2 linked regions of the Danio rerio genome follow. The protein of the gene in region 1 binds, or shares a complex with, the protein of each later gene. Links are inferred from orthologs where the notes say so. Each region holds a gene or a part of one and is shown on either strand. Other genes may lie near its edges. The genes, in order: lamtor1 and lamtor5.

Evidence for each region.
Region 2: lamtor1 (region 1) and lamtor5 share a complex: the UniProt entries of both Homo sapiens proteins name them as parts of the ragulator complex. The link is inferred for Danio rerio from reciprocal best matches to the Homo sapiens genes LAMTOR1 and LAMTOR5.

Annotation. Positions count from the first base shown.
Region 1 is NC_133190.1:46,803,151-46,807,082, reverse strand, and holds the start of lamtor1 (ragulator complex protein LAMTOR1), read left to right. Parts: upstream 1-1,547; 5' UTR 1,548-1,730; coding exon 1,731-1,772; intron 1,773-3,932. UniProt on the Homo sapiens protein: Key component of the Ragulator complex, a multiprotein complex involved in amino acid sensing and activation of mTORC1, a signaling complex promoting cell growth in response to growth factors, energy levels, and amino acids.
Region 2 is NC_133183.1:26,635,017-26,638,948, forward strand, and holds the start of lamtor5 (ragulator complex protein LAMTOR5), read left to right. Parts: upstream 1-1,354; 5' UTR 1,355-1,480; coding exon 1,481-1,515; intron 1,516-1,605; coding exon 1,606-1,667; intron 1,668-2,293; coding exon 2,294-2,411; intron 2,412-3,932. UniProt on the Homo sapiens protein: As part of the Ragulator complex it is involved in amino acid sensing and activation of mTORC1, a signaling complex promoting cell growth in response to growth factors, energy levels, and amino acids.

The sequences.
Region 1 (3,932 bases):
GAAATATCTTTTAAAATTATTTACAGGTTTTATCCCGTTAAACAATTTTTACAAAAATGTAAAAATGACATTGGCATCTCTTGCTCTTTCTGTGAAACCTCTTCTGAATCTGTTGCTCACTTGTTTCGGGAGTGTCCCTCTGTTAAATCTTTTTGGTCTAATGTAAACTCTCTAATTATCCAAAAGGTTTGTGGAGATTTTTCTTTAAGCTATAGACATATTATTTTGTGGTTTTATATTAAAGGAAAAGAATTCCTTAATTCAACTTTTTGCATAAACCACATTTTATTTATTGGAAAGTTTTTTATACACAAATGCAAATATACTCATTGTAAGCCTATTTTTTTTTTTTTTTTTAAACGAGAACTAGCTCTTTATTTAAAAAAAAACCCATCACAGACTCTCACAATAAGAAAGCTATTAAAACTTATAAAATATGTGCTTTATTTAATATCCTGCAATAATTTGTTTAATCTTTGTCATGTGCCCTTAATTATTATTATTATTTCTCTCTCTCTCTCTCTCTCTCTCTCTCTCTCTCTCTCTCTCTCTCTCTCTCTCGTTGTCTTTATTTTGATTTACCTATATTATATTTGTTCTAAATTTGTTACATTCCACTTTTTCAAAAAGTAATATTTCTATTGATTGTACCATACTTTCAGTTTTGTATCTGTATTTGTTGTAAAGTACTGTTATTATTGCAAAAAAAAAAAAAAAAAAAAAGCATGATGTTTCTTAAAGGTTTTTCATAAAGGTTTCCTAAAGGTTTTTCATACATATATATATATACATATATATACATATATATACATACATATATATACATACATATATACATTCCATATATACATACATACACACACTAGATATCGCATAGGGACCCTGAGCATGCGTCAATAGCGCCGCCACATTGGTACAGTGCTCCCAGTACAAATGTCATTCAACCGCACTAGTCAAGTCAGTGTTATTACGTGAAGATGCGGGACTTTAGCGAGCAAAACAGAAAACAAAGCACAAAGGCAGAACATTCCATAGGTAATAAAAAGTTTTTTCTGTTTTTGTATGTTCTGAACTTTTGTGCTAATCAGGTAACGTTATTGATGAAAACAGTGACTTACTGCATTCACCATAAGGCAAAGCAGCTCCAACTCGCTCCCGCTCCGTCAGTATGAGAAGTGAAAGCAGGAGAGGAGCTGTGTTTCAGGACATGATTAGATCAAATTTAACAGGGAGGGTGGATAGTACATTTCTGTACACACAAACACAAGCTTTTTGTCAGGAATGTGATGTAAAATTATAATTTTCGTAATTAGAAAAAAAAAATTACATACAACATCCAGGAAAACTCCCGATCATAGATATATGTGTATATCTCTGGCTTTGGATGGCCACAGTCCTCCACTGTACCTTGGTCCTGCATTCATTTCAAAGGAGCGCTACCCTGTAGCAAGATGGCGGCGCTATTGACGCATTCCGTCCAATAGACAACAATAGGCCAGGCGACATCTAATGTATATATCTATGAAGGTTTTTAACGGGTTTTTGGGGCGGAACTGACGTGCCAGTGTGGAGACGGAAGACACGTGACACGATTGGGAGTGCTGTCATGTGATGGTTTCTGCGTTTGCAGCAAATCTCTTCACAGCCAAGAGGCAAACACAACCTCAAAAACGCTCCTGAGACGAATAAAAAACCCAAATTCAGGATACTGAACCCGCTGGGCGGCCATCATGGGGTGCTGTTTCAGCAGCGACAGCGAGACGACGGATCCGGTAACTCAAAACACTAATAATGCAGCTTAATGTAGCGTCTGTAGTCCTGCAACAACATTTACTAACGACACACTTTCAATACAGTTGTGTGTTTGTGATTCAAGAACAGCTCAATACTGAGTGCTTGTCAAAACTACAACAAACTTAATCCACTAACGCTACTTTATTTATGTATATTTGATCATTAACGTGTGTTTGTAATGAACTGAAGCTGGTGTTTCGGTGGAGTTAGTCTTAAATTGGGAGTTTTGTGTTGGATGTGGGTCTAATGTGTCAGATCTGACATGTGCTAATGCTAATGTTTGGGGAAATGTAGTGTTAGGGTTTCCACAATGATGGAAAAGTTAAATATATTAGTGCATTTTAGGCCTGGGAGTTTTTATAACAGTTGTACGAAAATATGGGGAGTATTTATGATTTTATTGAGTGAAAAAGAAAAAAAATTAAGCCAATCGTGAAAAGGTTTATTAAATTAAAATGTGCAAATTTTGTTGGATTTACACTAAAAGTTAGTTTTATGCTGTCCAATGCTGAAAAATAACTTAAAATACCAATAATAATGCAGCTTAATGTAGTGTCTGTAGTCCTGCAACAACATTTACTTACGACACACTTTTAATACAGTTGTGTGTTTGTGATTCAAGAACAGCTCAATACTGAGTGTTTGTCAAAACTACAACAAACTTAATCCACTAACGCTACTTTATTTATGTATATTATATCATAAGCGTGTGTTTGTAATGAACTGAAGCTGGTGTTTCGGTGGAAATAGTCTTAAATTGAGAGTTTTGTGTTGGATTTGGATCTAATGTGTCAGATCTGACATGTGCTAATGCTAATGTTTGGGGAAATGTAGTGTTAGGGTTTCCACAATGATGGAATAGTTAAATATATTAGTGCAGTAATTCTCAAACTTTTTTCATCAAGTACCACCTCAGAAAAGATTGTTCCTCCAAGTACCACCATAATGACCGGTATTGAAATACAGTAGCGTAGTAGGCCCAGTAAAACAGCTGCAGCTCTGCACAGTTTAATAACGTGGTAAAATAACTACTACTATTAAGGATATTTATTATTATAAGCCACTTTAAACATTATAAATAGTAACATTAAGACTGTACTCTGCTTATATGTAAACAAACAAACAAAAAAATTAATGTTAACGTTTAAATTAATGTGCTTTTAAAGGTTTAATAAAAATGGTAGGTTACTGTCCTTAAATAGAAAAAAACTGCTGTACTTAAATGTAAAGTCCTATTTATCAAAACCTGGAAATGTTGCTTGGACCTCATAAATAGGCTATATGTCATCATATTCATATTCAAACCATTTTTGATAAATTTTGAAATATATGTTGCTTGTACGTGACATGTAGGATTCCTCTGCGTACCATTAGAAGGAAGCCTGCGTACCGCTAGTGGTACACGTACCACAGTTTGAGAACCACTGTATTAGTGGATTTTAGGCCTGGGAGTTTTTATAATAGTTGTACGAAAATATGAGGAGTATTTCTGATTTTAGTGAGCTAAAAAAAAAAAATTAATTAAGCCAATCGTGAAAAGGTTTTTAAATTAAAATGTGCAAATTTTGTTGGATTTACACTAAAAGTTAGTTTTATGCTGTCCAATGCTGAAAAATAACTTAAAATACCAATAATAATGCAGCTTAATGTAGCGTCTGTAGTTCTGCAACAACATTTACTTACGACACACTTTTAATACAGTTTAATGCAGTTATGATTTTAGTTGGTTTTAAATAATAAACTGAAGCCAAACGTGAAAATGTTTTAAATTAAAATGTCTAAATATTGTAGGGTTTGCACTAAAAGTTGGTGTTATGCTGTCCAGTACAGACAAATACCCAAAACACTAATAATGCAGCTTAATGTAGCGTCTGTAGTCCTGCAACAACATTTACTTACGACACATTTTTAATACAGTTGTGTGTTTATGATTCAAGAACAGCTCAATGCTGAGTGTTTGTCAAAACTGCGTCAAAATTATTCCAGTTACGCTACTTTTTTTATGTATATTTGATCATCAACGTGTGTTTTTTTAATGAACTAAAGCTGGTGTTTCTGTGGGATTTGTCGTAAATTGTGTTGGATTTGGATCTAATGTGTCAGATCTGACATGTCCTAATGTTAATGTTTGGGGATAT
Region 2 (3,932 bases), on another chromosome or scaffold:
ATTTTGTTGTTCATTGTGTAATGGTTAATTGAAAGAGCTCATATACTTGTTAGCAAGTTGTGTTGTTTGAAGGTTAAAATAGCTTTTGTTGCATATTTTAAATGTTTTGACACGGCATGTGCATTTTGCAACCAAAATGTGTTATTTTGACCATGAGTGCCGCTGTTTAGGCCTGTGTTTTAACTGTTTTAAAAATGTGGAGTTTCAGTTGACGGCTGCATGAAAGCAATCCAAGGAAAACTGTAAAATAAATTAAGCAAAATATCTTATTAAAAGACTTAAACTGCACAAAAATCAGTAGTCTAAAAATCCATATATATTTAAATGTATATATATACCCACACGCAAAAATAATAATATTGTAATGAAACTATATTTATAAAAATAAATCGATCATCAATAGACAGAAGTTAAGGAATTAAATTAACCCTATAAAAATGATATTCATCAAATATAAGGCTGCATCCAGTCAGGAAAGATTAAACTGTTCTGATGGGCTCTAGAGAGGCAGAAACAGGCAGCTATTATTCTGCCAGCTTATTTGCATGTATATTGACTTTGCTAACCTGATTCATGCTTTGCACTTTGCACAACTTGTGTAATAGTATATTTTATAATATGCTTCGCATATAGTTAAGCAAACATATAGTTAATGGATGTGACAGAGAAAAAATGTGTCTCATGTCAAACCCGGCTCTTAAACCAACCTCACAAACTATAAAAGAGAGTGCTTCAATATCTTGAGTTAAAAATGGAAAAGACTGTCTGATAAAGAGCTTGAGCTCAGACACAATTGACGGTGGTCTTTTATTGTGCGTCTGGTCAGGGGACAAGGTCATTTAGAGAGATACCAACACCGAAGATTCACACGTTCCTCTGGGAGTTCTCATTGACAATGCCAGCTAAATGTTAACCACATGTAGCCTACTTGCTTTTTAGAGCATTGAATGGTTTGTAAAGAATTTATTATTTGTTCAACATAAAAACGAGGATATAGAAGATCTAGACTCTGAATTATAGGTGATCAGTCAATAGCAGTGCTGCAGGAACATTCATTTATTCCAACAGCTGCATATTAATAAATTCAAGCTTTTCATTTTGGTTCAGAAATAGTCACTCTTCTACTTAGCATTTATTTCTCCTGTGGGACTTGTGGTATAATTGGTATTCTTTTGAGAATGTCTTGTGTGTTCATTTTAGTTTAATTAAAATGTTTAACCCAAAAAATTATATTGTATGACTGACTACTTGTCGAGGTTTAGCAGCAAACAAAAGAGGACCATTTACCTACCATCCTGACTTGAGTAAGATGGCGCTAGATCCTATTTGCTTGTTGTCCCTTAGAGGGCGCCGTAGTGTTAAGTCGCGTGTTAAACTGTCAGCTGACATCCCGGAAGTTATCCAAGTAACAAACATCGCTGCCAGTTTCTGAACATTTCGTGTTTCTTATTAGTTTAATAGCCTTATTTAGGACGCTGTTATGGAGGGTGCACTGGAGCAGCATCTTGACGATACGTATGTTTAAAAAGAAACCACTTTCTTTTCTTACGCATGTAACGTTACTCGTTTTGCGTCTTCATTTACTGATCTCCTTTCTCACTCTAGGATGAAAAATCCAGCTATTGTTGGGGTTTTGTGCACAGACGCTCAAGGACATAATCTAGGGTGTAAGTAATTTTTATATTTTCCTTAATACTTCCCTTAGTATAGTTTTCCTCTGGTGACCATGATTTGCTTGGTTTACATGTACTGGGTTTTCACTTGCAACAAGAGGTTAATATTGCTTTTAATATTTACACATGTGTTGAAGGTATGTAAAACGTTTTGAATTTTTATTAGTTTGATTTGTTTCTCAAAACAGGGAACGGGTGTCTACTGTGGACAACTTTATAACTGTGTTATTGACCAACTTAAAGTTAACTGAAACAATGGTAAACAAAAAAACATGGTTAACTGGGAGAAAATACAAGCCTATTCAAATGTAATTATGCAAAAAAAATGTAAAGTAAAATTAAATGATGTATAGATATAGTTTGAGTAGTAAAATCTATAATGGCATGTGTAGTATTAAAAATATTAATCTGATAAATTAATTCAACTTGAGCATTTTAAGCCTGCTTTTTCAGTGTATTACCATGTGCAAAACAATATACAATTTAAAACTTTTCAACAAAATATAGGGTTATAGAATTGTGCTTTATATAGATTCTCAGTTGACTCTTTTCCATTTGGTTTCCAGAACTTGAAAATATACTGTAATTCTCAATGACATTACAAATATTTTAATCTCCAGGCCGGGGCTCACTATCTGATGAACATGGAGGAGTTGTATCTGTACTGGCCAAGCAGGCTGCTTCTCTAACCAAAGATGCCACCGACTGTCCTACAGTGTGCCTGGAGTCTGACTGTGGGTAAGGAAAGCTTCTTGACCAGCATCTGTCTTATTTCTATGTATCTTGAGAATTTTTTGATTTGAGAGACAACAAAACAATCTGCAGAAATCGATGACATTAATTAAGAAAGTTAAATGAGGGAAAGTCAGTTAAACAACAATCTTTGAAAGTCATTCATCCCATTATACCTTCCCTCTTCCACACACACCAGTTGTCACTAAAGTGTATATATAGTGACGTGTAATAAGTATTGAAACTATCAAATTGGCGTGTGACTTTCTCAGAAAGTATTCCATTCATTTTAATTCATCAAGGATTAATATTTTGTGCTGGTCATTTGGTTGCTTTAGAACTGTCTTGGATCAATATCACTCAAAACCACCAATAGATGGCGGCAAGTCTTAATGAGTGATTCATTGAATCATTGATATTTGTAGTATGGATATAATTATAGAGAGGCATATGATTTCTTATGAGTTTTTGGGGGTTTATTATTTTAAAAAAAGCACTATTATCAAGTAAATGTTTTTAAGTAATGGTTAATTTTTTGCCACTATCATTATGGATATTCAATCAAAAGTAATGAAAGCAATGGAACCATTTCAATATAATGCATGGCATATGTATTACTAATTAATAGATGTAATTCATCTTTTTTTAAAGTTAATGCGGATGGGTTTAAACAAAGTAAATCAATTGATTTTAACATTATAATTCCTGTACACAGTAGTTAATAAAGATTGAACATTTAACTAAACGGTTTTAAAAATGTCTGCACAGCCACAAATTTGTTGGCAATATGCTAAAAGAATGTAACTTGCCATTAAACAAGAACAACGAAAAAATAAAAGGCGCTCTTTTTTTTTTTTTTTTTAGCATTAATTTCTCACCCATGACTTGTGGAATTGCTATTCTTTTGAGAATGTCTTGTGTGTTTATGGTTGGCAGATTCTTAAGTTGACTGAACTTGCCACCAGCTGTGATTTTTAGAAACTGATATACCTGGAGTAAGCACCGTCTGACCTGGGATAGGGAAGAGCAGGGCACAAAGTAACACTTTTTGGTTTTGGCCAAATAATGAACAAAGTAATGGGCTTAGACAAACCATTTTTTGTACCAACAACACACAAACTGTCTCCTACAGTTTCTGTGCAGTATTGCCAAAAGTGCCAGGAGCAAAAATGTTACTATTTGCCCCAGCAGTGGGGCACGTTGTAACAAACAGAGGGTAAGTTGTAACGCATGCTTACAAAGGCAGATTCCACACAGTTAATTTAATTTCTGTTTACTTTAAATAGTAGCTATATTTCCTCAGTACTTGGCTCAATTTATTTTGTGTTATACATAGCACAGCATGTTTATTTACTTATTTATCCACTTAATGAACACATTTGGATTTTTTTTTTGCATTATTATAAAATGCGTTTATTTGCATTATTAGCAATAAAACTAATTTTTTCTATTAAAAAATATATATTTTCTATAAAAAAATCATGTTTATTTAAAAAGTTCTCAACATTACATTATCAAAAATAAAAA